Xenopus tropicalis: one gene and its partner. The protein of the gene in region 2 purifies or fractionates together with the protein of the main gene of each other region. This does not show direct contact. Links are inferred from orthologs where the notes say so. Each region holds a gene or a part of one and is shown on either strand. Other genes may lie near its edges.

Evidence for each region. The genes of interacting proteins can lie anywhere in the genome.
Region 1: the proteins of ogdh (region 2) and dlst fractionate together in Homo sapiens (co-fractionation; 3 studies listed by BioGRID). This does not show direct contact. The link is inferred for Xenopus tropicalis from reciprocal best matches to the Homo sapiens genes OGDH and DLST.

What each region holds. Positions count from the first base shown.
Region 1 is NC_030684.2:82,186,673-82,194,694, reverse strand, and holds part of dlst (dihydrolipoyllysine-residue succinyltransferase component of 2-oxoglutarate dehydrogenase complex, mitochondrial), read right to left. Parts: intron 6,467-8,022; coding exon 6,433-6,466; intron 6,360-6,432; coding exon 6,311-6,359; intron 6,220-6,310; coding exon 6,164-6,219; intron 6,040-6,163; coding exon 5,965-6,039; intron 5,052-5,964; coding exon 4,996-5,051; intron 4,868-4,995; coding exon 4,756-4,867; intron 3,271-4,755; coding exon 3,115-3,270; intron 2,872-3,114; coding exon 2,795-2,871; intron 2,330-2,794; coding exon 2,232-2,329; intron 1,987-2,231; coding exon 1,856-1,986; intron 837-1,855; coding exon 763-836; intron 191-762; coding exon 107-190; intron 1-106. UniProt on the Homo sapiens protein: Dihydrolipoamide succinyltransferase (E2) component of the 2-oxoglutarate dehydrogenase complex. The 2-oxoglutarate dehydrogenase complex catalyzes the overall conversion of 2-oxoglutarate to succinyl-CoA and CO(2).
Region 2 is NC_030679.2:126,369,027-126,377,048, forward strand, and holds part of ogdh (2-oxoglutarate dehydrogenase, mitochondrial), read right to left. Parts: intron 7,990-8,022; 5' UTR 7,943-7,989; coding exon 7,721-7,942; intron 3,609-7,720; coding exon 3,420-3,608; intron 2,923-3,419; coding exon 2,829-2,922; intron 2,528-2,828; coding exon of another isoform or gene 2,425-2,527; intron 1-2,424. UniProt on the Homo sapiens protein: 2-oxoglutarate dehydrogenase (E1o) component of the 2-oxoglutarate dehydrogenase complex (OGDHC). Participates in the first step, rate limiting for the overall conversion of 2-oxoglutarate to succinyl-CoA and CO(2) catalyzed by the whole OGDHC.

The DNA of each region.
Region 1 (8,022 bases), on a different chromosome or scaffold from region 2:
AAAGTTTATCCCGGCACAGAATAACCAAGCTAAATATCTGCTTGGCACCTCCTTCTGCAGAGGAAGGTGAGTAGAGATGTGTGGGGAATAAAAGGGGAACTATTACCTTTTCCCCTAGCTCAGCAATTGTTCTTTCTATATCTGCAAAGTTCATAGATTCCACATTTCTTAGCACAGGAACTACAAGGCCCTGGAGGAAAAAAGTCATACAGATAATTAAAATTAGAAATTAACATTGAATGCCATACAAATATGCATGCACAGATACTGGCATCTACCTTCTTTAATCTACTTTTAAATTTTATGATCTTACTCTCAAACCCCCCCCCCCCCCCCCCCCCCCCCACCCCTGCATATTCTCTGTAAACACCTCAAACATGCCTGGTGCTAACAAATACACAGTAACTAAAAGTGTATGCCTCCTAAAGAAACTACTTAAATATGCGGAGAATGGATCAGGACAGTGCTGTCTCTTGTGTAGCAAGAGTATATTTTTAAGTAATGGAATTCTTATTTCAGATAAATGGTGCAGCAAGATCACTAGGAGGATGAACGGTTTCCTAAAAAATTAATAATTTTATGAAATGCACTTGCCTTGTAATACTGCAATATCCATAAAGCGCTTTCACAAATGTCTATTAAACACAGTGCTATATCTCCATATACATGTAAGCTGTTACCCCTCTAGCATTCCCCTTACTATGTATTAATGCCTCCCCATTAATATAAATAACGATATTTGGTTGCAGAGCAGGTTCTTACCCGGGGGGTAGACACCGCCACACTGATGTCTATATAGTCTCTGTACACAATCTCCTTGGTTGTATCATCGATCACTACAACAAAAGAGTGGCCCTGTTTTATTTCTCAAATAATCCAAAATATGCTATGTACGAGGGTCTTCTACCAAAAACAAACGGTAGTGATCAAGTAAATATTTACTCAACAGTGTCATAAGCTTGCCATGAAGATTTAAGCACAATAATTCTTGTCAATAAAAAAGAGCAGAATGGGGTTTAGAGATAACTATTCATGAGTAATGGGATGGAATTTTAAAATGTGGTAGTTATTCTAGTCAATTTTAAGATCTAACCTTGTAATCATCACAAGGTCTGTGCAGGACCAAAATGTTTAGAGTGACCTAATTTGAAAAAAGACAAGGCTATAGTATTCCTTAGAGCTAGGTGAACTTGTATAAAGTTTGGCACTACAAAGTGGAAAGACTGATTTAAAGGAGAAATGCTATATATATTATATAGTGAACTTATCACATCAGCCTAGAGGGTCAGCATCTCTAACAGTAATGACCCAGGTCTTCAAAGTTGTCACAGGAGCTCCCCACATTGGATCTTGTTAGAAGTGTCAGTGACACTCACATGCTCAATGAACTCCGAGCAGCTGCTGAGAAGCTAAGCTTAGGGGTTGTCACAAATTATCAAGCAGAAAATTAGGTTTGCCTGTCATAGAGGCTGATGCTACAGGACTGATTAAATTCTTATTGTAGCTGCACTGGTTTCAGAGATGCCATTTACTAACAATCTGTATTATTTATTAATTAGCCTTATATCACCACATTTATACTCTGTAAATACACTATATTGTGCATCAGCCTTAATCTCAGTAACTGACAGCAGCACAGAGCATGTGCAGTGAATCAGAAGAAAACAAGAGCTATTGGGGCATCTATCTATAGACACAGATCTTCCCTGCTAAAGGGCTACCTATTTGGGTACGATTTAGTTCTCCTTTATGGTCCTGAAACTGCTGGATAATAATGCACACACTGACAATTAGAATGGGTACCAATATGAGGATTTCTGACCATGTCAAGAATAGAAGGCATAAATTATCTCACCTCCATTGACTGCTGGCTGATCCTGCAGGGCAAAGGCTGAAGCTTTAACAAAGGCTGACATGAATCCTAATTTCAAGCCATGTTTCTTCAAGAAAGAGTCTTTGTGCATGGATCTCATCTGATGAATGTTACTATGTATAAGATAGAAAAAGTTAATGGTAGAAAACAGATGATATCCTTGTGAAAGAAGTTACAAAAACAATGAGCTAAAATGTTGTACTTATACAAATAGGTTATGCTCCTTCAAAACAACCAACATCACATGTTCCACCTACACACTTTGGTCCCCTCACACACCAGAACAGCCCCTGACACACACACACACTAACATACAGTGCTTCTCTTCTTCTCCCCTTCCCCTACCAATTACACAGACCTCATATCAACTTCATTGAAAGTTGTCAGCATGGCGCATGTGTTCTGTGCTTCTTTCAGCCGCTGTGCAATTCTCTGACGCATTCGGTTCATCTTGACCTTAACGTGAGTGCAAAGGAAACAGGCCTTACTGAACTAGATAAACACTGTCCGCTTCCCACAAAATAAAATACTACTAGGAGGAAATGGTACACTATGTAACACTACATTGCAGGAGGACAAAAACAAACAAGTGTTTTCCACCTCATAGTACCCTGGCCAGCCCTTTTACACAGCCTGGTTCCCACTCACATGTATATTAGCTGGCTGATGAATAAATATATACATTATAGCCTTATCATGCAGGTCTCAGTATGGTCTTTTGATAGTTGCCATATAGATTATGAAGAAAAGATATGCACTCCATAAAGTCAATTATTGTAATTTATTGTAATGTTCCTTATTGGATCTGCTCAGGCATGTATGAACTAACACAGGCAGATGCTGTTTAAAAACAATTTGGAAGCACAATACAGGAGAACCAAACAAGATTTATAAACCAGTCTGTAACAGTTGCATACTTACCCTATGCTCTGATCGTGCACTTGCTGGCTGAGTAGCATCAGCCATAACAGAAGCAGAAGATGGCTTTACTGCAGACACTGCATAATAAAATAAATTATAAATGTCCACACTGAGCTAACAATTCTTTCTCCAAATAACATGGCATCTATATAAAACATGTTCCCTTCCAATCACAAATCTCTTCTTTAACACATCAGTGAACATATATAATCATCTTCAATATAACTAGATCCCTAAAGACACAAATTCTATAACATATGTCTGCAAAACTACTGCATTTGCAGTTTAGATAAAACAGAATGTACCCTGCCCCCCATTACCAGGTTTGGTCTCCAAAGGCTGTGCAGATACAGGAGGCACCGGTGGGATGACAGTAGGAATGGGCCCAGATGAGGGGTCAGAAGGTGTAGGTGGTTTGGGTGCTTGGGTAGGTGGAGTTGCCACAGTCTCAGCTGGTTTGGCCTTAGAAGGAGCAGCTTTTTAAAGTGTGGAGAAAAAAGAAAATCAAGCAAACATACACATTATTATTACACCCCCAACAAACCAATGAACCTTGTGCCATTTAAGACACATTTTTTGTGTATGCATTGTCATGCAAGAGCAGTAGTAAGTAGCTCTAGCATTGTAAGGGTAAACATAAGAACATTTGGTCTCAAGACACAAACCCCATAAGTAATAAAGGGCACTATGTTTGCCCAGGAACAAAAACCCACAGCATCCAAAACAGTGTTTGGTTTTAAACAGGTGACCAGTAATGCTACCTACTGAATGGTTACAATGGGTTACTTACTGCTCCTGGGCACTTAGTGCCTTTTATTACATAACACCATAGGAGACTCGATAAGAGATTCTAGCATGGGGCTGTGTAATTAGGTGGCCAGACTGGTCAGGTCCAGGTCATTTTTCCAGTTGGTTTCCTTTCGAACTAATGATCTAAGGAAAGAGTTACGGGACATCACATAGATTACAAAAATGGATCAATATACCCTCTGACTTAAGTTTCACATGCTGATTATGAGGCCACATGATTATAAATGATACCCACCAGGGCCATCTTATACCCATCAGGGAAGGGTTCTGAGGGGCTTGATTATCAGAAACCCCTCATGTTAGGTACCATTCTGACTGCCCACCTACACAATATACAGCATGACAATATTTTGCTGATATTTGGTACTGATAAGTACCATTAAAGTATTGCAGAAACTGGCCTGGAACCACGAGTATAAATGACTTGATCCTGTGCATTCCTACCCTTTAACAAGAGGACATGTCCAAGTATGAAAACATAAAGCAGACCCAATCTCATGGTATTTAGTAAGCAATCTGAGGATCCAAATGTTAGACTGCATGCAGATTTTTTGCTTCAGGAGACACAAAGGGAATTTCTAGCCAGTAATGCATGTGATTTTATTTACATTTTGTAACTTATAACTTTCTATTACTACGTCCCTATGTAATATCTAATTTTTTTACATTAAAGGTTAAAATTTTATAAGTTTGTTCTTAATGCTCTAAACAAACTCATAGCCTGTATGAAAGCATACCTTAACTCTCAGTGTGCTGAAAGTAATAGTTTGTTCACGAATATGCTACTTAACCATTTGACTGCTGAAAGAAAGTTTTCTGAAAGTTTTCTGCTGGAGTGCTTTGTGAATCACTAGAAGCTAAACCTCTGACTGCTGTCATACAGTGTTGATAGGTATGAGTTGCCAATTTCACACAGCCTGAAGTAACTATGTGTGGTGGCAGTGAACTTTTGTAGGTATTAGGGCTGTCTTAGGGGTGCAATTGCACTAGCTAGATCTGTGTGTACCAGGTGAGTGACAGACCGAGTGCTGGAGTGTATAATTCCTTACAGCCTCACCCAACATCACGTGCATCTGAAGCATATATTTAGCTCTTTTTTTCTTTTCGTGACCATCTCATCAGCTTCGCTGAGTGACCGATAATTCACATACCTCCAGACTTTTTCAGCACAAATAGTGGTGTTCCTCCTTCAACTTTTCCTCCATCGGGGACAAGAAGAGCCTCAATTACCCCTGCAGATGGGGATGGTACCTGAACTGAGGTCTAAGAGTACAGGGTTTCATATAAAATGTTAGGTTGTTTGAAAATAAATAAATAAATAATATATATATATATATATATATATATATATATATATACACACACACATTTGTTGTAATTTGCACACAAACCTTATCAGTTTCAATCTCACACACCACTTCATCCTCAGAGACTGTGTCACCAACAGCTGCAAGATACAACATAGAATTATCAATAGTGGCACAAAACACAAAGGTTTAGGCAAATAGCTGCATCAGAACCGGTCCAAAAGTTAGTTAAAAGCAGTACTGGCCATTTTGCAGTACAACAGCACTACATGGCAGGTTTCAAACAGATAAACACTATTTTATTTCCTTAAAGGAACAGTAACACCAAAAAATGAAAGTGTATAAAAGTAACTAAAATATAATGTGCTGCTGCCCTGCACTGGTAAAAGTTGTGTGTTTACTTCAGAAAGTCTACTATAATTTACATAAATAAGCTGCTATGTAGCCATGGAGGCAGCCATTCAATGGAGAAAAGGCACAGGCACATAGCAGATAACAGATAAAACACTATTGTATTCCACAGAGCTTATCTGTTATCTGCTATGTAACCTGTGCCTTTTCTCCTTTTTTCCAGCTTGAATGGCTGCCCCCGTGGCTACACAGCAGCTTATTATATAAATTATAGTAGTGTTACTGTAGCAAACACACCAAACGAAACCTTGTTTCGTACGATATTCGGTGCGTGTATGGTATGTTGGTGAGTCGACCGATATTGCAGGAAGCTGCTAATATCGGGCGACTCGCCGATCGGCGCCTGACCAAAATCTCCCTTCAGCGCTGAATCGGCAGAAGGAGGTAGAAATCCTATTGTTTCTACCTCCTTACCTGCCGATTCAGCCCTGAATGGTGTGTGGCGGATCTGACGATGTTTCGTGCGACCAAACATCGTCAGATCGCCACGTGTATGGCCAACTTAAGTGACACATTGTAGATGAACCACCCTATTAACATTCTCATACAGACTACTGGTCTATAGTCATTTATGTAAATAGGCAGGACTGGAAATGATCAGCGTTTTCCATTGCTTAGGTGGAGGTATAACACCATACTTACCCTTTTCCCACCTGACATCTCCTTCCGTTACAGACTCTGCAAATGCTGGAGTATTGACAGTAACCACATCCTGCCCTACACATCAGCGTGGAAACAGTTAAAAAGACAAATAAGCATATAAGAAAACATATATTATTTGGACTGCAGCAAAAACAATGGAGTAAACTGCACCCCCCAGACTACAATTGTGCTCACTCACGGTAAACAAGAGAGGTTCTGTAGAATCGCACTTGGCTCAGAACAGAGCTAGATACTCTGAGGAGTAAACAAAAATAAGAAAGGAAAATAGGAGAAAAATATCTGAAATAAAGTGTATCTAACACCATTAATTTTTTGTTAGACTCACCTGGGCTTCTGGCTGTCAGTAACTGGTGTTATACAGCACCCAGATATCTCTAAAATGCAAACAAACAATAAATCACTCACAAATCCTGAAATCGACTGTGGACACAGATAAAAGATACCCACCTACAAGAGGGCGACTCTGTGCCTCACCAGGGCCCTAAGTGCCAAAGAGAGAATAAAAAGTTATTTAGTTTCGCATTAGAGCAAGCAATTTAGGTTAAGATCAGCTCATTTGGCCAGGTGATCTAATGACTAGACTATAGGGCAGATTTACCAAAGCACGAATTCGAATCCCAAATAGCAAAAATTCGGATTGGAAACGAAAATTTTGCGACTTTTTCGTCGCCGTTGCAACTTTATCGTATTTTGCGCGACTATTTCGTCATCGTTGCGACTTTATCGTATTGAACGATCGTAAACTGCGGAAAAACCTTTCCGACTTTGCATGATTTTGGAAGCCTCACAGAGGAATAAATGGCACTCTGCAGCTCCAACCTGGCCCAAGGAAATTCACGATACTGAAGCTTGAATCAATCCAAAACTTTCATACTCGGCACAACAATACGATTTTTTCGCTATGGCGACAAAAAAGTCACCAAAAATATACGAAAAAGTTACGACGGCAACAAAATATTTGCAAAAATACTGTATATTTGGCGCCCAAAGAGCAACACGCTCTTTGGCGCCAAATACTGTATTTAAATCCTGCTCTTTGCACACACTTGTTTCCCTGACGAAGGTTCTAGTAAGGAACCGAAACCTTGGACTAATAAACCTCACCTTATTGCATCTGGCTATGACTTGCTGTCTGTGAGTATTTTATGCAAACCCTGTGAGTGTCGACACTTTTTACCTATATATATATATATATATATATATTAGTCTAATTGTATAACTGAATATATTTCATTACACCTCCTTTCTCCTTTGTGTGTACGAGTATGGATCAGTGGCCCTTATCTAAATTGATTAACAGGGTGCTCTCAGGAACAATTGTAGTGATCAATTTAACCTTAATCACTTGCCCCTGTTCCCCATGAAAAACCTGCAACATCCTGTGTCACACACGGTCCAATCCACTCATTCAGTGAGGTTGCCAAATTGGGCATGTCTCCCGATATGCCCACCTACGGGTGAACAATACCAGGATAATTTGACAGTTTGGCTCTATAGCCAAAAAGTTTAAATGAAAATGGTGGGTATACTGCCTGTCGGTCCAAGGACTGCATCAAGGAGCCAATATGTAATTCTAGGCAACTTTTTCATATATGTTAATCAAATCAAATTTTTTGAGTGTTTTTTTTAAGGTATTTGTAAATAAAATTCCTACTGAAAATAATTTCTGCTTGTACTGGTTTGTATTACAACTACTGAGGGGTCACCTGATCAAAAGCTGTACTGAAATTTTTTTAATGATGGAAAGATTGTTTATATCCGGCACTGACTGAAATATCAATTTTATGCTTAGGTGCCCCTTAAAGTGGACATTACTCTTACAAACCATGGATGATTTGTATAGCTTTTCTTTTTTACTAAATGAAAGATATTGTTTATATCTGGAAAATGCTTTTGCTCAAACATAGTAACTTGATTGGAGGACACTTTTTTTGAAGTTTTTATTAATGTTTGTAAAAAATAGCAAACATAAAGCATCGCTTTTGTACTATAGACACTCAGTGTACAGCTGTTGAAAAAGTTAAGCTTGGGGAGCAG
Region 2 (8,022 bases):
GCAACATAAGTCAGTATGGGTCTGTATGTGAGTGTATAGATAGGTCAGTGTGGGTCTGTATGGGAGTGGATAGATAGGTCAGTATGGGTCTGTATGTGAGTGAATAGATAGGTCAGTATGGGTCTGTATGGGAGTGGATAGATAGGTCAGTATGGGTCTGTATGGGAGTGGATAGATAGGTCAGTATGGGTCTGTATGTGAGTGGATAGATGGGTCAGTATGGGTCTGTATGTGAGTGGATAGATAGGTCAGTATGGGTCTGTATGTGAGGGGATAGATAGGTCAGTATGGGTCTGTATGTGAGTGTATAGATAGGTCAGTATGGGTTTATGCATGTGAGTGGATAGATGGGGTGGTGACTGAGTGAAGGTGAGGCGTGTATCCTTCTGACTGCTTATTGGCCGTGAGTGCTGCTGTGGGCAGGCAGCATGCACCAGAGCTCACTATAGGTCAGTGCCTTCATCCTGCCTGCTCATAGTAACCAACAACTAAAACCCTCAATATGTACACAAAATAAATCTGTTAGTAAGATGCCAAAAACTATTTTTTGGATTCACCCCAAACGATAATAATCCTTCACTAAAAAACAAAATTCCATAATTTTTTTTTAAAGATCGGAACACAATGTATAAAACTGCATTACCTGGGGCAAACGTTTTTTTAAAAATGATGCGGAGGGCTGAAACGGTCCCAATCACATACATTATCCCATAGACTGAATGGCCGGATACTGTATGCGGGGTAATACATGGACACCATTCTATTTTTTTTTTTTATAACATATATAATTCCCCCCCAACGTGCTGTTGTTATCAGTATGTGTTTGGCCAGTGTAGCCCTGCAGCAGCTGTAGTGTCCCGTGCACCCTATAACCTCTCAAGCACAAGGTTCTTACCTGCTGGTTCCAGGAACACAACATGGGTTACAGGGCATCATTGTGTGGATTACATTGGGGAGACAGTGGTGCCAGGAGGCTTGGAAATATTTCCGACACTAACGAATACTCACTACCGTTAACGTATGACATAACAGGGGCTGGCAGTGGCAGCACTGCACTAATTATAATATATCGGCTCAAGGGGGAACAGCGTTCTAGATCTCAGTCACTGTACTAATTAATCCAGATAAGGGCTCAGAATCCTGCAGCGATGCAAACATGGTCTAAATGCTGTTATAATCCTAGATTGTGCCATAAAGCATGGCAGAACTACTGTACGAGAGAAAGGAAGGCAACATGACTATTTTATGATCTATGAAGGATACCGATGGCACTTGGAAAAATGTGGCTTCCACTCAGGAGGGTGCATCACACTCTGGGCCACAGAAGGGTAACTAGGTAGGATCCACTGCTCCAGACAGCAATAATGCACTATAGGAAGGGAACCTGGCTCTAACCAGAATGAGCCGAGGGATAGCTGTACTAGGCCAGTTCTGACCAGAATGAACCGACAGTCTAACTGTGGCGTTGTCACTTATGGAAACTCACAATGGAAAGAGTGGCACCTGGAGTCATACAAGTTATACTGGAGAGCTCCGGAACACCTCACAGCTTAACCTAGGGCAAGTACTGTCTAGCAGTCCACAGTCCATTGCAGAACAGAGTCAATCTCCAGAACAATTGGCAAACATGAGAGTAAATGCCTGGTGGCCATATGTACATACACCAACAGTACAGCTTCCTGTACTCACAAACAAACCACACACAGACATGCCACCAACCAACATGCCCTACACCCAAAGCAGACACGGCGCCAGCCGGATACACACACTACATGCATTATGCCCCAAATATTCTGTTAGTGCTGGTTACTGGATGCACTAGTCTAGGTTAGTCGTGCTAGCTTGTCAGCAGCGTGATAGCCTGAGAGTTATAATCCCTTTCAACAGACAGAGGTCAAACTAACAGCTTGTTTATTTTGGGGGGCAAGCTACAGGATGGAGGGGTCCCGGGGTTATAGCACCTTTCTGCTGGATGTAAACCCTCTCCACTGTCTCAAGAGTTGTACTGCTGATATTATGCCCGGCCTTTCTATAAATGATGTGGCTATGTTTGTTTATAGATGGAAACAGAAGAGATTGATTTCATGAAGTATAAACCCACATGTTCTAAACCAATGAAATCGTAGAATCTGCCTCCCTTTTACTATTTGATGCCAATGATTGTCACCTCTACAGTAGAGTGGAGTGAAGAGCAATAATGAGTGCTACTTTTACTGTGACACAAGGCCTGCTTATTGAAACGCCAAGAGGGGTCCTGTGCGGGACCTATAGGGGCCCCAGAGGATCAGCACACAGACCCCGCAGCTGTTAGTTGTGATCTCGTGGCTGGTATTCTAGCGAGCGGAGGGGGGGGGGGGTAGTCAGACAGACAGGGGTGGTGATGGCGAGGTGCAGAAGCAGTGACACTAGCACATTAGCCTTTACCGAGTTTGTCTGAGGAAGTGACAATATCTGCTGGCACACAGGAGTCCAGATCTGCATCCAGAATGCCAAGAGGGTCAAGCTGAGCAACATGGTGCCCACGGATCTATATGAATTCAAGGTTCCAAGGACAGGACATGGGAGGGGTTGAAATAGACAGTAGGAACAGTAGGAAGATGATTGGGAGCAGGTGCAGATAAGCATGGAGTGGGAGTTGCAGTCAGATACAGGGGAAGGCAGGTTGGGGGGGGCAGGGGAGGAGAAGAGGCAGAAAGGATGGAAAGGTGGCAAAGCACAGAAAGGGACAGTTGGGTGAAGAGGACACAGAAAGGTAAAGATAACAAGAAGAGGAAAAAGCACAGGAAAAAGAGAAAAAGTTACAACAAGTCTGACAAAATGATTCTCACCCATATTTGGAGATCCGACTATCACCGGAGCCCCATCAAAATTAACAGAACTAATTCCAAGCGGGTCAAGCTTTGCAATGTGATGACCCCTCACCTGGAAGCAATGACAAAACATGTTAAAAAGATGGGCCACACTTCCTCCAGCCCCCCCCCCCCCCCCCCAAACTGTGGTGCCATGAAAATCCCCTGGAAAACCCACTGGTTGCCTTCTTTGTTACAAGCTCCTAGCCATCGGCTGCAGGCTGAGGATGCTGGGAGATGTATTTCACGACAGTTATAAGAAAGTCATATAAGAAAAAGCTACATTGAACTAACCACACCCCTGAGGTGCTAGGCCATGCCCCCTGCTAACTTCTTGTAATCTGCAATGGGATTAGAACAAACGGGAGACTTTAAAGTTGTGACCACTCGGCAAGAGAGGCAATGGCGGATTCCAGCAAGCGAAATGTGCAGCAACTTTACAGACGCTTGGGGGAACAAAACAAAAGTAAAATGCACATTTTTTCCTCTTTTCTGCAATGCAACTATCAATCAAAGACTGAGATACTCAGTGCAAGTGTATAAAGCTGGGCACAATAGGATCCTCTGTACCTGATAAGCACGGATGAGCGACTGCACAGCGAGATGATCCTCCACAAGCTTGTCTATATTAGGTTGGGCCTGCACCAACGACTGGGCCTGGGTAAGGGTGGACAAGCTGCTGCCGAGAGGAGGCGGGCTCTGGTAAGCTGCACCAGGGGATGCGCCAGCATTTGCGTTGCGGAAAAAGATGTCCCATGACTAAAAAGGGAAAAGAAGCAAACGTATGCATTACCACAGTAAATTCTCTTGCTATTTCATCACACAATCGGGCTTGGTATGGATATAAAGGATTTGGCACTCTCATACAGTCAGCAAGGCATTTCCCTTTGGCACTGGAACACAGAGTCCCTGGAGAGAAGGCAACCACGCTATATGTTATGTACACAGCTGTAAGGCCTATATTTGCACTATGGCAGCACCTATTGCACTCCTAACATTCTCCGTTAGGTCCCCATGGCACTGGGGTACACAATGCTGGCATGGAAGCCCCATGAGGAGAGAGAAAGTAAAGAAAAGGCTGCTAGCTAGAGTGCTAGTTTATAGGCCAACCACAAGGTCAGGGGATGGCTGCTATTTTAGGCCTGCCGGGGAGTCATGAGAAGGGTGAGTGGGGGAATGTGAGAGGGTCAGGGTATCTTGTTTGACAGTAATTACAGTCCTGATGGCCAGGAGAGCCAGCAGAGCGGGGCATATTGTAAATTTAATGGGGGTATAGGCTTTCCTCAGGCGGAGCAGGCTGGTTTGTATGTATTAGCCACTGCTCCCACTCATTGTGCCACCGGCTCTGTCAATAATAAAGTGACTTTAAGGCACAAGGGACAGGCTGTCCTCTGCCGGAGTTTGGGATCAGTTCCCATGTCAATTCCTAGGCGCTCCTTTGCAGTCTTTCCATCACACATGACTGCCATTGTTAACTCTTCCTCTACCAGGCTAGGTTGCCACACTGACCCAGGGGGCTTGGTTATAACACAGATCATGTTATGGTATCCCTAGAGTGCAGACAAATGCAAGATAAGAAACCTAATGTGAAATATTAAGCAGAAATACCTCAAAAATATTATTTTGAGAGAGAACTCTGCACCTTAAAAGGTTAAATCACCCAAAGAGAACGGTGGAGGGAAAACACAATGTGCAGTGGTACAGTCCTATCCCAGCAGAGAGGAGTTAATAGCCGTAATGGCCTGTGAGTGAGACGGCATTCCAGCCTCACACTGGAGCCCAGCCAGGTAGAGATGACGTAGGATTAATTCCAGTACAAACCAGCCAGGACTGAGTGACTTCTAACCCTGAGCAGCACCACTGCCGTCTTATGCAAAGGGAAACTATACCCCTCAACATACACGCGGGTGTATTACACCCTCTCTTGAAGAAATATATTTATATATAGTGTGAATAATGTACCCCCTATTAAACAAAAAAAGTTCCATGACCATATAAAAGCATGGGCATGAAGGCAGAGTGCTTTTCTACAGGTCATGAAACTCTGAGGGTATTAGAAGTCCTCAGTGACAGAAATGACATTACTGATTATAATGGATGACATCACTAATGGCTATTTATAAGGATATCATTTACAGCATATCCATGGCTTGTGTATTAATAGAAAAATATTTTTATGAAAAGGCTAACAATGTGCTAGTGGTAAGAGAAATATTTCACAACGTTTTGCCTTAAAACACCCATAGACTCTAATAGCCATGAAAACAAAGTTGTGGTAACTGCAAAGAGAAGCCCATTAACTTCCATGCGTTTTGCGTAATTTTGCAGTTTCACATACTTTTTGGCAAAGCGAAACAGGAAAACTCATCACTAATATTTGCCAGTTCCGTAGCCCCCCTGGCTCATATTATGCACTGTGCTGACACAAGGGCATGCATGCTACGCTATATTAGCCAATGATATGACAGGGGGTGTGTATTTCACCCCCACACCCCTTCCTATTACAGTGCATTATTTCCTGTCAGCTGAAATAATGAGCAGGTGCTATTATCTGGAGCTGCACTGGGTGAGCACAGATGGACAGACCGCAGGACTATGTACAGATCCACAATGACCAACCTACAATTCACTGTAAGAACCACCATCATAAAAAGCCACCTAGCCCACCCCACACATTGTTAATAAGGCTGATCCTTGGGGCCAGTTTAAGAAATGGTGTTGATCAAGTTCTTCTCCTTGTAGCCAGCAATTATGTAATGAAACCAGTTGGGTATATTTATTCCAAGAGCCTGCCACACCTTCTGCTAATGGCTCCTATAGTAGCGCACAACGGCCCAACCCAGGGAACACGCACTTTACTATAGTGAAGCACAGTAGGAGAGTATTTTTAGGCTTACATTCAGCCCAAAGGGCAAGTCAGTGTAACTATTCCAATGCAAATGGCACATCCCGGTGAGCAGGTATTTAAAGATTTTCATGCCTGGACTGTTCCAGCAATGTATATGGGTGAATATACAGGCCCATCAAGTGTTTTAGCCCTTCTTTGAACAGATGCACCTTGCTAGCCGGCTGCAAGCTGGGCACTGGCACAGAGTAACATTAGGCAGGTAATTCTTACCCCAGTACTTGGATACTATCATGAGGAAATACCCCTCTCCCTTAGATCATAAGGCAACAAAAGCTTAGGGAGCTATAAATCTATATTACAAGAAAACTTCACCACCAAGAACCAACAAAATTGGGCACTGAATTCCCAAAACTAAGTTACCACGAAGGGATGATGCCACCATGTGCGTCTCCTTCCCACGGAGAGCCACGGCATAAAGATTTTGGTTGCCAGGACAGAAGGCTCACTCGCCGTTGGCTTAACATTTCTAAGCAACAGGCATCGGATCATCAACCGCACCCATAAGTGTAGGCATTTGCTGTGAGGATAAAATGTCTGCAGCTATTAATTGCCTGGGGGATTAGAGGGTTAAAGGGGAAGTTTACCTTCAAAGTAAACTGAGTAGGCTATAGAAAGCCATATCCCCAGCAACCTTTAAATTTTTTTGTATAGCATTCGTCTCCTTCAAGCTTTCAAATGGGGTCACTAACCCATCAATAAAAAAAGTGTCTTGCTCTGTGAGGCTACAAATTAGATTTGTTATTAAACTTTCTATTCATTCTCACACAACTGCCTGGCTACAACAACAAACTGGGCTCTTGCAACCAGATAACTGCCAAAATTCCCAGCTGGGGGGCTGCTGGAAAAAAGCTAAATATAAAAGAGAAAAAAAAAAAAAAGCCCAACTGCATATTGTCTCACAATAGTACTGCCTACAAGTTAATGTAACAGTGGTCTAACCCAGGGTACAATACGCTCTATACACTGACAATGATGGTCAACTTGCAAGCAGACCCCCAAATCCTCCCGAGTCTAAACATTTATCCCACATCTACAATCTAAAATGGTTGTGTTACCTGCAATGTATTTTTGTATAAAATGAGTATGAGCTGCCATACTGCTTGGCTACAGTCTTGGGGGGAAGGGGGGGCAGCAGGATGGAATGCTTGCAAATACTTAATGATTCTCTGCAGGTCATCTGAAATGGTGTCTCCAGATCTGTCTGCTTCTACTCCACCCCAGCCAAAACTATCCAATGAAAAGCTAAACAAATGACCTCTGAACCATGCTGCTTACACCACTCATCAGCATTTTGTAGAAAGGGAGTTTGTACAATGAGTTGGATAGGGTTAAAGGGGATGTTAACAAAAAAAATAAAACTGAATCCTCAGCAATTTGTACAATATATATTCATTAAACATGCTGGGAGGTTCAAACGTTCTGTATATGTTATTTCTATTATTAGCAGCACCTGTCTGCTAGTTTCTGCACTGCCGGATATACCTCCTGAAACAGCATAGCAGAAGTCAGGCTTGTATGCTTTTTCATAGCGGTTAATGCGCTAGCTTCTGCTATGCTGTTTCAAACACATCATGGTTGCTTCCCAATCTCTTAGGAGTATATGCTTTAATAGTACAACCAACATCTTAATCAGTTAAGGACACAGTGTTCCCTGTAATGGCTAGACCCCTTCTGAAAATGCTTGGGCTATATCAATTTAAAGAACCATGAACTGGTCTGGGCAACACAACTGGCAGCTGTCTAATCCACAAACATGGTTCTCCTGCTGCAGCCATTGAGATGACGACATGAAGCTCCATTAGGGCAATCTTTATGATCCTTAAGGTTCTCTTGTCAAAGCAGATGACCATTTCCAGTTGTGGCAGCAACGTTATCATGCCTGGAGCTTGCCCCATTCATGCCCTGGTTATGCTCTGGCATGCAGTAGGCATTAAGCAGCAGAATACCAGCTCGCCTTCCTTACCTTGTGGACACTCTTAGGGTTTTCTAGCCAAGCATAGTACATTTCCTCCACATAGTTGGAGCTAGTCCCACTTAGAAAAGGCTCTGCGGCCACAGGTGTACTAAGACACCTGAACTGCTGAAACGTCCTGGGGGCCGCAGGCCTGCTGTGTTTAAGGGATCGTACAGTCTGGGAGGCCGTCAAAGGCCGGAGTTTAGAGGCACAAGTCCTTAGGTTAAACATGTTGTTGCTGTGGTAGAAGAGTAACTTCTGGAAGTTTCCTCTGAAACCTTGAAAGAAAAAAAAAATGGAGAGTCAGTATC